Saccharomyces cerevisiae S288C: one gene and its partners. Changing the gene in region 2 together with the main gene of any one other region gives a genetic interaction. Each region holds a gene or a part of one and is shown on either strand. Other genes may lie near its edges.

Region 1 (5,604 bases), on a different chromosome or scaffold from region 2:
ACACAGGTGTTCGTTATGGCTTTTGGTGGTGGTAAGGACTGGACTGGTTATTTACCCGAAAGAATGAAGGTTACTAAGCAATTATGGGATGCTGGCATTGAAGCTGAATATGTCTATAAGGCCAAGGCTAATCCTAGGAAGCAATTCGATGCTGCTGAAAAAGCGGGTTGTCACATTGCCGTAATCCTCGGTAAGGAGGAGTACTTAGAAGGTAAATTACGTGTCAAAAGATTGGGCCAAGAATTTGCCGATGATGATGGTGAATTGGTTAGTGCGGCTGACATTGTTCCTATTGTTCAAGAAAAGTTATCACAAATTCATGAAGATGGTCTAAATGAGGTCACTCGTTTAATTAAAGGATTATAAACTTGATAGCTCATGTATTTACAAACCTTCGTAAAACTAGACATGTATAATGAAAAATAAATCGATTCAAATTAATTTATAAAGCATATAGAACTAAAAAAAAATAAGTATAGAAGGAAGTTGCTCATTACCCTGTATGAATTAGTGTATGTATTTAAAAACCAAGGGCACCTTTCATTACATCTTTTCCAGTCTGCTCAACAGCCTCGTTCATTGTTTCTCCCATGGCGGTAGCATAGTCGTTGAATCTATCTTCAACGGCGTCCCATCTAGTTTCTACAGCTCGAGAAACATTTCTTAGTACCCCGTAACTACTGTTCCTGCCCTTACGGGTGGGCTTGGTATACTGGTGTTCCGGATGGTTCGCATTATTATCGTCTGAAGAACGCTCCGAGAAACTTCCCTCAGCAATGATGCTCTCTTTGTATTTGGATGCAGGTCTATTCACGCCACCCAATAATTCATTTAATTGAGCGGGAGTACAATATACAGTGCCTCTTGCCCACTGTAATGAATTTACTTGTGGCCTATAGGGAATCCTGATTCCATTGATGTACAGTGTGTCAGAAACTGGCGCTAGCGTATCCTGTTCCTTGACAGTAGAAAATAGTGACGCCTGAAATTCACTCACTCGAATCGCTATATCACCATTTCTTAAAACAGATGATTCTGTAATGTATTTTGCGGCAATTGGAAATGGAATATGTTCAGACATTTGTTCTTTGAAATCTGGAATAGTAAAAACTCTTAGATGGCCATTGATTTCTAATGTAATTATTACGGTTAGGTTCTTCCTATCATTATTTTTCTCAACGGTTGAGATGTAAGATAAACCTGTCGCGGCAAGCGGGTATTTGAAACCTTTATGTGTACTTTTAGATTTGCCCAGTGTTATTAATCTGATATCATCGAATCCAGTTATTAATACAATACCAGGAATGCAAAGGCCTTTACTTAAATTCTGCATTTTTGGAATAGTTGCCAAGCAGCTAGATTTTGTTTCCTTTGAAAATGCATCAATTTTGTGTATCGGACCCTTACTGGTAACATTAGTAATATCCATTAGTTGCACATCGAACTTTCCACCTGATGCAGGAAGAATTTTGTATGTGATTACCTCGCCCATATCAGTACCACAGACCATCAATATACTAGAGTAACCATCGTCTCCATACTCCATAATTACGAATTCGATGCAGGTAACACATGCGCTTTGAGCTCCCGAGATTTCTCTAATGTTTTCCATGTAAATGATTGCAGGACCTCTTCTATCGATCAACATAAGGCTTCCGGCAGCATATGCGATTCCAACAAATCCAATATTACTGTTGTTGATTGCAGATGTTTTCCCTTTGTTGGCATGCACGGCAGTTGATGGCATAAATCCCTGCCTAACACCGGTAGGTGCCCTGTCTCTCACATCGACGAGAACACCATTCGTATTATTCAAAGAAAACCGCCTGAAATTCATCTCCAGGTCACCGCTTTCTGGTCTGTTCTCAACACTGTAAAACTGGTTTACTTCATATTTGAATAAAACAACGTCTCCTGTTTCAATTGACACCGCCAACTCGAGAGTCTCTGCGGCAAAAGATATCTTATCAACTGCTAGTTCTTTGGCCTTGTTCAACGTTCTTGATAGATTCACTTCAAAGCTAGCATTATCTTGTATATCCCCATGGGAAGCATCGTATATCCTAACTGAGCCATTAGAATGGCCGGTAATGAATGCTGTACCGTACTCAGCGGGAAGTTTTTGCCTTTTTGTTCTAACCCCTCCCTTCAACAAATAATCCTTGTTTTGAGCTGCAGAAAGCGCACCAAGCCATAATTTGTTTGGTACAGAAGCGGCCATTGAAGTCGTGGCTAATGGTCTCAGCCAGGAAAGATTTTGAGGGAATAAAGAGGCTTTATCTGTAAATATTCCAGAAGGATATAGCATTGTTTCTATCTCACCGTTACCTAGGATTAACAAAATTAACCCCGGATTATGACATCCTGCAAAATACGGGGACTGTCTTGGAATTGGTAGTATATTCACTATTGGCACATTGGTTGGTAAGGGAAATATCTTCATTTGTTTCGGATTTGCATAGTAGTTCTTCATACCTTCATAAGAGGTTATTGAATATCTAGGTGTGTAACCGAGGTCGATCATAGTGAGACTTTGATTATCTCCTCTGCTGATTGACTTATGAGAGATGAGTAGTGAAGTATATTCTGGATTGTTTTCACACATCCAATACACTTTCGAAATTTTGGCAGCATTAGTACTAGAATCGCGTATGTAATCAGGTTGTGGAACATTGATTTCTGTCTCAAACACTGTCCTTGCCATGATCATATGGCCTGAATTAGCATCCCAGAAAACCAAGGAATTGTCTTCATGAATAGTGATAATGTGCAGTGAATTAGGGTGATATAAGGACTGAATAACTTTGGGAGTTCTCTTTTCATTGGTTTTTTCTGAGAAGTCGCCTCCTGGAGCAAAAGGTGGTAATTCGTATATGAAGGATTGTTTGATTTCGTTCTCAACCAATGAGTATGTTAGAGTTACATACTCATATGATATTAAAACAGTTCCAATATCTCTAGGGTTCCACTGAATGGATACTATAGGTGATAGTCTTGCAGCCGGAAAAAATGAGCTTTTTTGTAGGTTGTCTAATTTGAAGGAGGAAAGTTGATCCCTATCTATGTCGTAAACTATCATTGAACCATTTTGAAGGCCGATTAGCATCCAGTCTAAGGATGCATCTGTGTCAATTGATGTTATTTTCCCCGGAACAAACACTGTTGTAAGTACTTTTTGAGAATATAACGATAAAACATACACAGTATCTTTTGCGTTAATGACCACCAAATAGATACCTTTCACAAATCTCATTTCTTTTATAGCAGATCTATCCTCCAGTTTTATAACCACTTCCACTTGTTGCTGGCCATAAATATGGACTTCCCCTGTGACTGTAGCAATTGCCAATAAATTTTGGGTGAAATCGAAAGCGGCTGCGATCGGTTTACTGCTCATCCCATATTTGTTGGTTTCTGCTAGTGAAAAAATTTTATTTTTGTTATTTGAACTTATAGGAATCTTCAAAGAAGAGGAAGATTTCGCATCTTTGGAAATAGTAGATGTCTTTGAATTTTTGGATTTAAAAGACGCCTTTGAGTTCTCAATGGGTGTCTCTGAATTTTGGCCTTTTAGGGACTTAAATGCTTCCTTAACATTTTTCAGACGTTTGCTACCGAACATTTTGTTTTGCTCTTATGTGTATAGAGAATTAGTCAGAAATAGTATTGCTTGCTCTTCTTGTTTTATATTTAACATATTCCAAGATTTAAATTCTAACGTGATTAGGTTCATTTCGTTTGAATTTTCATTTTTTACTTTTAACAAAAGCGCCGAACAGGATTCTAGAAATTAAACAAAACCAACTAAACTATAAAAACGGATATTTAGTTCGGTATTGAAATGCTAAAGAATAAAGAAAAGACGACCTTTCTAAGTTATTTTTACTAAGTGTTCCATGAAAGTAAATAATAAGCCAAACTTTTACAAGAATAGCATAAAAATACATACTCATTATACATAATGCAATATTAAAACCTTTATTTTATCCGCTGTTAAGGATTAGCTTCAGCATACGGTGTTCCCCTGCACTCAGTTCTTCTGCATCGCTTAAACCTTCTTCTTCCATAATCACCGGGCCACTCCATGGTCTTTCTTCTATCTTGTCATCATTTATTATAAAATCTCTGGATAGCAACTTCTTAATATCTACATGTTCTATGAGCCCAATTAAATTTGTTACTTGCTCTTTTGCCTTTGATGAGACAGTTTGGAGTATTCTTGATGCACCGGGTAGAGTTTCCAAAACCTCAAAAAAATGCATAATTTCCTCCTTAAAAATTTGGACAGTATCAAAATCACAATGTTTACACTTTTCTAAAATAACCAATAATTTAGGTTCAGTAACCAATCTTTCAAGAGCCTTGAATTGTTCAGATTTTATAAAGATATCCAGTACATTGATTTTTAAAAGATATTTTTGGGGCGATTTAACTATATCAAAAACCTTCTTTCGGGATCTGGACAAGCTGTTTGAAGCTTGTGTTCTCTTTTTCACCAAAGTAGTCAGCTCTTTGAGCCGGTACAAGTCTTCGAGCTGATCATTGGCAAAATCTATTCTTGTTTGCACTTGTTCCTCGGTTAAGGACCCCAATGAATTATTTTCAAAACAGGCAGTTAATGGGGTACCTCCTGTAAGCTCCCTTTTCATTGACCAATATTTGCAAATATCAAATGCGCCTGCTGGTGGGTTAGCTAAGCCAAAAAAATCAACGACCTTTTGCAATATTTCAGCAAAAACATGTGGTGCTACCGGCGTTTGATTAGGTGTTTTCCAAATTGTTTTGTTGAATTTTGAATTTGTCCTATCATTAGCTTCATTATGCTGAGGAGTTTCGGTTTGTAATGTAGAGAGTAGAGAGAAGTATTTTCTAGCTTTATTAATACCTTCTATACTCGTTTGCCATCCTCTAGGTGCATGCTTGTGGCAGAAACTTTCGACTGAATACTTTTGGGAGAATTGATTAGAGGCCAATTCTTGAATAGTGCATTTCCCTTTACTCATGTAGAGACCAGCTCGACGGGCACACGTGACATGATATGCTGTAAAACAGTTTCTTTGAAAGCACTGAATGCAAGCACCCATCTTCTTTTTACAGATGTAGCAGTTAAGTTTCCATCGTGATACGCTAACATTTTGAACGCCTTCTATAGGTTCCATATAATGTAAGTTTGAAAAGTATAGCTCTGGAAGCCATAGAGCACAAATGTTATGTACCCAAGAACCGGTGTCTGTTTGTTTGAATGCACCTGTATGACTTGGACACATTAGACAAGTGGCAAAGTTATTTTTTGAGATCATACATCGTCTACATAACCATTTTCCTTCCGGGATAAAAATTATACCGTAACATTCTTGATGCACAGCAATATCGCATCCATCACAAAAGACAATTGTATTCAGATTGTCACTGTCTGTGCCTAAACAAACTGCACACGCCTGGTCCATCGATAAACCTGTTCCATCATCAGAACCATATAGCTCATAATTCTTACAGTCCCTTAGAATATTATGCCTAGCAATCAGACTATTCGTTGAGGGTATATGTTTTTCAATATGGAACCATTCAGTTTCTAGTGTAGTCATTAAAATTTCAAATATTTCG
Region 2 (4,540 bases):
TCCCCACTTGGCAGGGTCTAATCCGTACAGTTCCAGAGCTCTTGCTTGACACAAGGATTCGGACTTATCGATGATTTCGTTACCTCCGTAGTATCTTTCACCTGGATAACCTTCAGAATACTTGTTTTGGAGCTCAGAACCTAGCAAATCCATAACGGCCTTCGAGGTGAAGTTTTCTGATGGGATAAGGGTGATAGAGTGTTTTTGTCTGTGACGTTCTTGTTGCAAGATGTCAAACATCTCTGGATCTCCCTCCGAGACTGGTTTGGAGACTAGCGATTGTGCACCACTGGTGAGTAGCCCACGACGATGAACAGTTGCCATACATTTGGCCAATGCAGAAGCTCTGGGAAACATGATTGAAAGACTATGAGACTCGATGTGGAAATGTCGGCTTGATGATTTTTGATAGTTTGCTCTTCTCCAAGAGGCGATGGCTTTTAGTATTTTTTTTCTCATTGACCACCAATAAGCGAAGTACCTAAAAAAAAATAATGAGTCTTTTTTATATTCTATCTCTTGGACAGAAGGGGGACAGAACAGACAGTGGACTAAGAACCAGCAGATAACGGAGAGAATCATGTCGAAATTGGGTCCGTTAGCAAGATCTGTGAAGTGGACTCTCTCTGTGGGAGTAATCGGTTCTGTTTTTTACCTGTACCGATACAGTAACAATGGCTACTTCTACGATCACGATGCTACATGGTTGAAACAAGATCATCAGGTACAGGACCTGGTGGATAGAAAAGAAGTGGTACCTGGGGAGACCAGGAACCGCAAGCTAGTTGTGACGGATGATGGCACTGCATGGAGCAGGACCATGGGGGAGAGCATAAAAGATATTTGGAATGAACAGATAAGAAACTCTGTCGATTGGATCTACTCCTGGGGTAAGAATTAGCGAGCTTTCTATTTCTCCTACTGTAACGAACATCCTCATGTATATAACCTATTGTAACGACTCTGTGTAGAACTTTATATTCAGAAAAAATATCAAAAGAAAAATTTAATTATTAATCAGTACTTTTCACTCTGGTAATGTGCATCGGTGTCAAGAGCATCTCCAAGAAAGAATACATAAACAACAACGATGGACGTGCCTGCAGATTCCCATATCAAATACGAAGATGCCATCGACTATTGGACGGATGTGGACGCCACTGTGGATGGTGTTCTAGGTGGATACGGAGAAGGTACAGTAGTACCCACAATGGATGTCCTGGGATCCAATAACTTCCTGCGTAAACTGAAGTCGAGGATGCTGCCTCAGGAGAACAACGTGAAGTACGCTGTAGACATTGGTGCGGGGATTGGACGTGTAAGCAAGACCATGCTTCACAAGCACGCCGCTAAGATAGACCTTGTAGAACCGGTAAAGCCTTTTATCGAGCAAATGCACGTTGAATTGGCTGAGCTGAAAGACAAAGGCCAAATTGGACAAATATATGAAGTAGGGATGCAGGACTGGACCCCCGATGCCGGCAAGTACTGGCTGATCTGGTGCCAATGGTGCGTGGGACACCTGCCAGATGCAGAACTCGTCGCATTCCTGAAAAGATGTATTGTTGGTTTGCAACCTAATGGGACAATCGTGGTCAAAGAAAATAACACACCTACAGATACCGATGATTTCGACGAAACGGATTCTTCGGTCACAAGGTCAGATGCTAAGTTCAGGCAAATCTTCGAAGAAGCTGGCCTAAAGCTCATCGCCAGTGAAAGACAACGTGGCTTACCAAGAGAATTGTACCCAGTGAGGATGTACGCACTCAAGCCCATGCCAAACTAGGATCAAGGATGCATAGATTTATATAGATACGCCCCTTTTCTTGTGCTGGCATTCACCATTTGTGCCATTATATAGACTTTTTTTTCGATATATATGGAAAAAGAACCCAGAAAATAAAGAATGTGAACAAAATAGTATGTAAAGTAAAAACATACAATCTCGGAAGATTAAAAGAGAAGTGATATAGACAAGATGGAAGAGACTGCGAAGAAACCAGCTAGTGCCACAGTAAGTGCGAAGTCGTCGCACGATGGTGGCACCGACGATTTGGCGCACCTTTTTAGCACGCCAGAGATCAAGAAGGTGCTAAATTCCGATGTGGCAATTAACGCTTTGTTGAGCCGTTTAAAGCAGTCGTTGTTGACTTGTGAAGAGTTTATGAAATTTATTAGAAAGAAATACGCCTTCGAAGAAGAGCACGTTCAGGAGCTCTCCAAGCAATATAAGCACTTTTTCAACATTCAGGGTTCCACAAATTCATCCTTAAAAAAGATGATTCACGAAGTTTTGGGATTCGATGGCAAGATGGCTCAAGTAAAGCAGAGTTATATCACCGCCTTGCAGAAAATGTACTCCGAGATTAGTAGTCTTTTATTAACAATGACAAAATTAAGAAAGTCTGTCAAGGAGAACAGCAAAAGGCTGGAAAAGGATGTTTCTGATGCCATACACAGCGCAGAAAAGGCGCAATCTCGTTACAATTCGTTGTGCCAAGATTGGGACAAATTGAGGATGACTGACCCAACAAAAACAAAGCTGACCTTGAGAGGTTCCAAAACTACGAAGGAACAAGAAGAAGAATTGTTAAGAAAAATCGATAACGCCGATCTGGAATATAAGCAAAAAGTAGATCATTCTAATTCTTTGAGAAACACATTCATAACGAAGGAGAGACCTAGAATTGTTCAAGAATTAAAAGATTTGATTTTAGAAATAGACACAGCGATGACTATCCAATTGCAGAAGTACACGATATGGACGGAAAATTTGGTTCTGAATACAGGTGTTACAATAAGCCCATTGGACTCCACCAAATCTATGAAATCATTTGCTGGATCTGTTTCCAATGAACGTGATCTTTACAGTTTTTTGAACAAGTATAACCAAACAGGAAAACATTCCCTACTGATCAACAAAAACTTGATCCCTGTATCATACAAAAAGCATCCATCAATGAATCATGGTCAGAAAAATAAGAGCCCCCCAAAGTTTGCCGTGGACCCTTCAAGAAACTCCATCCCGAAGAGAATGATATCCACTCATAATGAATCTCCATTTTTGAGCAGTAGTAGTAACACTGCCGCTGTTCCGAATGCTAATCTTAACAGTGCTACACCGTCCTTAAATACCAACAAGCAGTTACCACCTACTATGGCTTCATCTATTTCTTCCACTAGCAATGCGGCTGGCGCTATGTCACCGTCTTCTTCCATTGTAACAAGCGACACCACATCATCCATAACAAAGACCCTGGATCCTGGCAACAATAGTCCACAAATTCCAGAAGAATTGATTAACTCTTTAGACTCGGATCGCCCGATTTCTCACATTCAGACTAACAACAATATGCCACCCGGTGTTCAAAAAAATTTCAAAACATTTGGTGTACCGCTAGAATCACTGATAGAATTCGAACAAGACATGGTCCCTGCGATAGTGCGCCAATGCATATACGTTATTGATAAATTTGGGCTTGATCAAGAAGGAATTTATAGAAAATCGGCAAATGTACTTGATGTCAGCAAGTTGAAGGAGGAAATTGATAAGGATCCCGCAAACATTTCCATGATTCTACCATCAAAGCCACATTCTGATTCGGATATTTATTTAGTAGGATCACTGCTGAAAACTTTTTTTGCGTCGCTGCCTGATAGTGTTTTACCAAAGGCCCTATCATCGGAGATCAAGGTTTGTTTACAAATTGAAGACCCAACAACAAGAAAAAATTTTATGCACGGACTAATATATAACCTCCCCGACGCACAATACTGGACGTTAAGGGCTCTTGTCTTTCATTTGAAAAGAGTGTTGGCACATGAAGCCCAAAACAGAATGAATTTAAGGGCTCTTTGTATAATTTGGGGTCCAACTATTGCGCCTGCAAATCCAGATGACGCTAATGATGTAAATTTTCAAATTATGGCAATGGAAGTATTATTAGAGGTTTCAGATCAAGCTTTTGAGCCTGAATAAACATAGCACTTATGATATTTTCATTCCGTCTTTAATTTCCACTTGTATGTACATTGACGCTGTTATCAGATTTAAGTAAAAACAAAGGAAAATTATATATTGAGAAAAAAAAAAATTCTGTTGTACTATTCCATAATAATTTACTACAAAACTTGCTAAGGTCCAACTCCCTGTCTTCACGGTTGTTAAATTAACCTTATTAATGATGTTTTCTGTCCATCCCTTTTGTACTTAAAATTAAATGCGTAAAACTTTTGTCCTTTTTCGTTCTCTTTCAACAACAATAGTTTCAATTTTGTTAGCCTGTTCAAATTGTACAATAAGATTTCATTCCGTTTACTTGTCGGTAAAACAGCTAATTTTTCCTGTATGCTAGTTAATGATAAGGAATCAACTTCATTATATAAGTACAATATGCTCGTAGTACACATGTTGGAAACGAGTTTCAAATGCGTATTTCTTGTAGTATCGATAATAATTGGTAGTTCAATTTCAAAAAGGTGGAATGCAAATGCGTCTTGCAAAATTTGACCCCTCTTTAATTGCTTATTCGCGAAA
Region 3 (5,168 bases), on a different chromosome or scaffold from region 2:
AAGATCAAGAAACAAAAATAAAAGCGTTAATTGCAGAGGATAAGGCTAGCGAACCAATTAATGGTGAAGAAAAAGAAGAAGGTGAAAAAGACGGTAATGCCGAACAAGGGAAGCAAAAAGAGGTACAAGACGAGCAAGAGGAAGTACAAATGCCGAATAAAGAGCTTGTTCAAAGAAGTCTGAAATTACTAGAAATTTGGAAGAATGATGACTCGGAGCAGATAGAACTTAAGAATTTCTTCGTTGATGTTTAACATAGAGTTCAACAACGTTGTTCAGTTGTAGTATATATTTTACTGTGAAATACGCTCAAAAAGTAGCGGGATAAATCGTTTCAGGAAGTATAATTTCTTACAAAACTATAACAAGATCGTCTAAGTAACATACATAAAGAAATCACATAAATTTTTAAAATTCGAGGTCAAAAAAATCAGGTGGATACATAACTTACCTTAAGTTATCAAGATTTTCAGTACACACAATGTGATTACACTGATTTATAAAACCACCTTACGGCCTCTTATAAGTAATAACGTGGCTCATCAAAAACATGGTAGAAGTGACCCCTCTCACCTTCGCCTAAAAACTTATCTGGAAATTTCATGTCCTCATATTCCGGTTCACTCATATGACCGTATTCATACATAGAATCCGAGTGCTCTACTAACGCTTGCTCACTCAAAACTTGGAACTTACCAACTTGTAGCTCCGTATCGGTTATCGTTCCTCTTGCAACTCTAGCATATCCTGTTCTTCTCAAGCCCCTATACAAGATATACTCACACCATCTATCATCGTCAGAAGGATCAATGTCGTGCATTCCGGATGTTTCACTAACGTACGTATTGTAGTTGCCTTCACCTGGATCAACAACTAAGTAACTTAATAAAATAGCTGGGCGAGTCGTATTGCCCATGAGCTTAGCCATGTAGTTACTTTGCAGTCTTCTATCCTCTTCATCCTCTTCTTGTCCACTATGGAATACAAAGACGTCAACGAGAGTGTCATTGTACGTTTGAAGTGTGGCATGAATGGCTGGCGCAAGTTCCCCAACTGGAGAGGGCAATAAATGATGCGTAGAATTTACGATAGGGAATTTAGAAAGAAGAACACAGCCCCAGGTATGTTTATTTGGACCTGGTCCGAAATCTGCATACATATTCAAATCATGAGCTAGTTTGCTAGTTAGATCCCTGTTCCCCATGGTAATTCTTTGTGTATCTGTTTCTAGTAGACCTACCACATCTAGTTCCATATCTTTAATAAGGTTGATCATTCTGTCTTCAGATGCCCACATATCATTATCGAGACCAAAGTGGATAGTCCAAATACCAGCTGTAATCAACTGAGAATCTGGATGATAAGGCTGAGGAATTCCTGTAGGTCTAATATCATACACGAACCTAGCTGTTAGTGATAGCAGGGCCACGGCAAAGAAGAAAACATAAATGAAGAATTTTTTGCCCATAGTCACCAGTTGAATGTTAAGGTTTTTGCATGTTAAAGCACCAATAATGATAAATGTGGAAGAAAAGGCAAGAACCGTCTCAATCTTCTCCCTCAGTACCCAGCCCATTGGAACAAATGCGTATGCAACGACCCAAACATGGGCAAGGACAAAGATAATATAAACGGAGAATGATAGGACATAAACCCATATGTTTTGAACTTGGCCTAATGCAGAAAAATACGAAGGAACTAACCAAAGCATAGCGATAGCGTACAATAAACCACCGAAAATATATTTAGGCCATTGTGTAATGCTTCTAGCTGAAAGTACAGCAGTGGATATGAGAAGCAACAAACATGGAACTAATGGCTTGCCCATAAACTTCACAGAACTCAAAGAAGCAAATAACATGACCGTACAAGTTAAGGCGCCCCAAGGCCATGGCAAGGGACCGTGTGATTCATTGTAACCTTCCCATGCCCAATAAATAGTAGTAGAAGAATCCGTCAATAACTGATGAATTCCGAATAACAACGAGCCAAAACCAACAGCCAAAAATAATTTGCCAATCAACGAAGCAGATTTTGCTTGAGCATTCCTTTTCCCTTCGAAATTAATTGAATTAACATAAGGCGACAGCATGCCGAATAAAACAGTAAGCACGAGAGCTGTCTTATTATACCCACCATTACGTTCATCTAAAATGACCCAAGTTGGATTGTTGGTATAGAACCCCATTTTCAAGATCACAGATGCAACAAGACCTAACAGCCAAGTTAGAGCAAAAGAGAAACTAGTCTCCGCATTTGTGATATATCTTAGATTTTGTACAAACGTTGCAACGGTAATGGAAGTTCCCACAGCTACAGAAATCAACCTTAATTCTGGCATCTGAACAATATAGGCACCAATGGCAATAATACCTCCTAAAAGTACACCATATTGCGTGAAGGCTTCAGAAACGAACGGCAGATATAAGAAAATGGGTCCCAAATAACCCAATATTGCAGCTTCATAACCTGAGATTCCCATATACCATAGCGGGAAATGCCAAATACTACATAACAGGGACGTAACGTTCGACCAGAAAAGAAAACCGTTAAAAATATTTGTTAGTAAGTAAAAAAAAGAGTCAAACCTGAAATATGAACCAGTTGCGCTTCTAGCAACGGGTTTTTCCTTTTCAACCTTCTTTTCACCACTTTTCTGCAATTCTGAACTTTTTTCTTCTCCATAATTTATGGGACTAGAGTCTCTAATTTGGAAAAAACTGGTATTACCGGGTTTCTCATTAAAAGCGAGAACAATATCTATCTTTTTGAAATCAGCGTAAGCAAATGCATCAAATGCAATATCTAAAAGAATCAGAGACCATTCGAAATAAGCATATATAGAATATGCCCCAGCTCTCTGTTGGACGGAGTGCTGAATGTACCAGTAAATCATCGGGAACAATGTTCCAAAAAAAATTGTAGCAGTCAACCCTTTGTTCTTCGAAGTTAAAGGACTAGAATAGCGGGTAATCATTATATCCCATGGTAACGTTAAAACAATGTATGTGATCATAAATATATCATGAATATCGTGGTCATCTGTACTTGTAATGTATACCCAACCACCGCAAGAGACTGTCCGGAGTACACCGACAAGGAAGCATACCTTAGATTGGTTCAAGTAGTAGTGACCTAGTAGCAGTAAAAATCTTGGAAAAGCAGTTAGAGCTATTAAGATTTGGAAAATAGAACGTTCCGGATAGCGGTCCCCGATAGTGGCTGATACACTAGGAAACCACTCATCTGGATACGTATAATGTGCATTGGTTACAATTTTATGAAAATGTAATGAATAACCAGTGACCAAAGCTGCAAAGAAGGCGGAGAATGCACAAATAGTATGAGCTATAGGGATGATCTTCCCATTGATGATCAGCATAACTGGCGGTGGATACCTTCTGTATTCCTGGTTACTTATTCCTCGAGAAATCGGACATTAAAAGGGTGCAAATACTGTGGAGAAATTATAAGTTACCAAGTCAAAAAGCGAATGAGAATCTATTGTTGCGATTTTTTTGGTTACTACTTCTTACCCGAACTAACTTTACATAATAAAAAAGCATGAAGCGCATATTCAGGGACTCAAAAATCCCAAACTGGCACTTCTGTATATACCGATGAGCATACTTTGATTGTAAAAAACAACATTAAAAAGAACTGCAAACCTGAACCAAGAATACTTAATTTCAAAACCGAGAAATGAGGTACAACTTGTAGAAGTTCACTTAAACTTATTGAGCATACAATCTCAACAAAACTAACTGCAAAGTTTGTTGCTATAGTCATATAGTAATACTAGCAGGAAGCCATTAATCAAAAAGAAACTCCATATAAAACGTAATAAATATTATGAATAATAGTACAATATAAGAACAAAGACGAAGAAAATACATTATAACTGAAGTGCCAATATTAGAAAAAAAAAAGGTGGAATATCCTAGTGGAAAAATATCATCTATGCGGTGAAAGAATTAAATAGATACTATGGATTGTTTCGATCTATCCTTTTATCTGCTGCTTGCCTTTTTTTTTCATTCTCCTTCTTCAGTCTTTTTCCATAGGCGAGTCCACAGGGACTACAAAGTTCCCTGTTTTGGTCGGGTCCACTACGCCATTGAATTGTCCAAGTGTCTTTACATTTAGAGCATTCCTTTATCTCACCATTTGGGAGGATTGTTTGTCTCTTTTCTCTTTTAGGACGACTAGTAGTCTTTTTGCTGTATTTCTTCGTAATACTGGCAGACCGACTAGTTCCTTGTGCACAACTATGGTAGCCTTCAAGATTGTTTGCTTCTTGGCTAGTCGTACGTCTCTCGGAATTGCATGCACTAGTTACACGATTCTTTGAGGGTGTAATTTCGTTCAAAGAGCTGGTTTTGTTCTTAACAATATTTCTTGTAAGATCTCTTAGTTGTTCGGCATTCTCAATTTTTTTTTCAACATCAACAGCCCTTATTTGAGAAAAGGATACTTCAATAAATGAGCAACTTGCATAAACTCTTCCGCGTTCCTTATATGCCTTCTTTTTATCGTTTGACTTCCAGTCATCAATTTCTCTATTTAATAATAACGTTTTCTCCATATCTGACTTTTTAACTACTCTAGTTAAGAAGGAACTTCCAGAGTTGTCATAATTATTATATCGCATACTAGCAATAGTAAATGTCTGGTTATTTACCTAGCAACCTCTTAACAAAGCGATAACAATGAAACAGCAATATAAGTCTATTTAATTGACAACATCATTGATAAAAGTTTGAACAAGCGTCTAAAAGTCGAAGAAGTTCATTTCAAAGTTTTGTGTATCGAGCTTGATGATACTTATTTAGGGATCCGCTCTAGTTTACTGTGATACAACTGAAAAACATTACAAAGCTATCGCGCCTGCATTCTCATATTAGTGGCGTATGTTTGTGTCACATTCGATACTTCTACATAATACAATGACTGAACCCTTACCGCTGGCACAGGAATACCGCGCCGCGAAAGCAGGGTCTAGGAGAAACAATAGAATTCTTGGCGATGAGAGAGGGGAAGGCTTTAATAAAAAAAAATAGCGCTTATCCGATTCTGTTGGAATAAGTGGCTATCAATATTTACATGTTGATATGGTAGTAAGGATATAAATGCTTATATTGAATATTTGGAATAAGCATCAACTATCA

The links. A genetic interaction does not mean that the proteins touch.
Region 1: mutations in RGD1 (region 2) and SRO7 together harm fitness more than expected from each alone (negative genetic interaction), as found in Saccharomyces cerevisiae (2 studies listed by BioGRID).
Region 3: mutations in RGD1 (region 2) and CWH43 together harm fitness more than expected from each alone (negative genetic interaction), as found in Saccharomyces cerevisiae (2 studies listed by BioGRID).

What each region holds. Positions count from the first base shown.
Region 1 is NC_001148.4:632,141-637,744, reverse strand, and holds SRO7 (Rab GTPase-binding protein SRO7), read right to left. Parts: upstream 3,623-5,604; coding exon 521-3,622; downstream 1-520. Other genes in the region: HTS1 (histidine--tRNA ligase), read left to right, coding at 1-366; NTO1 (Nto1p), read right to left, coding at 3,984-5,604. UniProt on the Saccharomyces cerevisiae protein: Acts as an allosteric regulator of polarized exocytosis by promoting the targeted fusion of vesicles with the plasma membrane.
Region 2 is NC_001134.8:732,081-736,620, reverse strand, and holds RGD1 (GTPase-activating protein RGD1), read left to right. Parts: upstream 1-1,981; coding exon 1,982-3,982; downstream 3,983-4,540. Other genes in the region: glycine hydroxymethyltransferase SHM1, read right to left, coding at 1-357; MIC12 (Mic12p), read left to right, coding at 581-901; TAE1 (N-terminal protein methyltransferase), read left to right, coding at 1,091-1,789; YBR259W (uncharacterized protein), read right to left, coding at 4,168-4,540.
Region 3 is NC_001135.5:144,253-149,420, forward strand, and holds CWH43 (Cwh43p), read right to left. Parts: upstream 3,383-5,168; coding exon 521-3,382; downstream 1-520. Other genes in the region: RNA-binding ribosome assembly factor RBP95, read left to right, coding at 1-254; SRD1 (Srd1p), read right to left, coding at 3,986-4,651.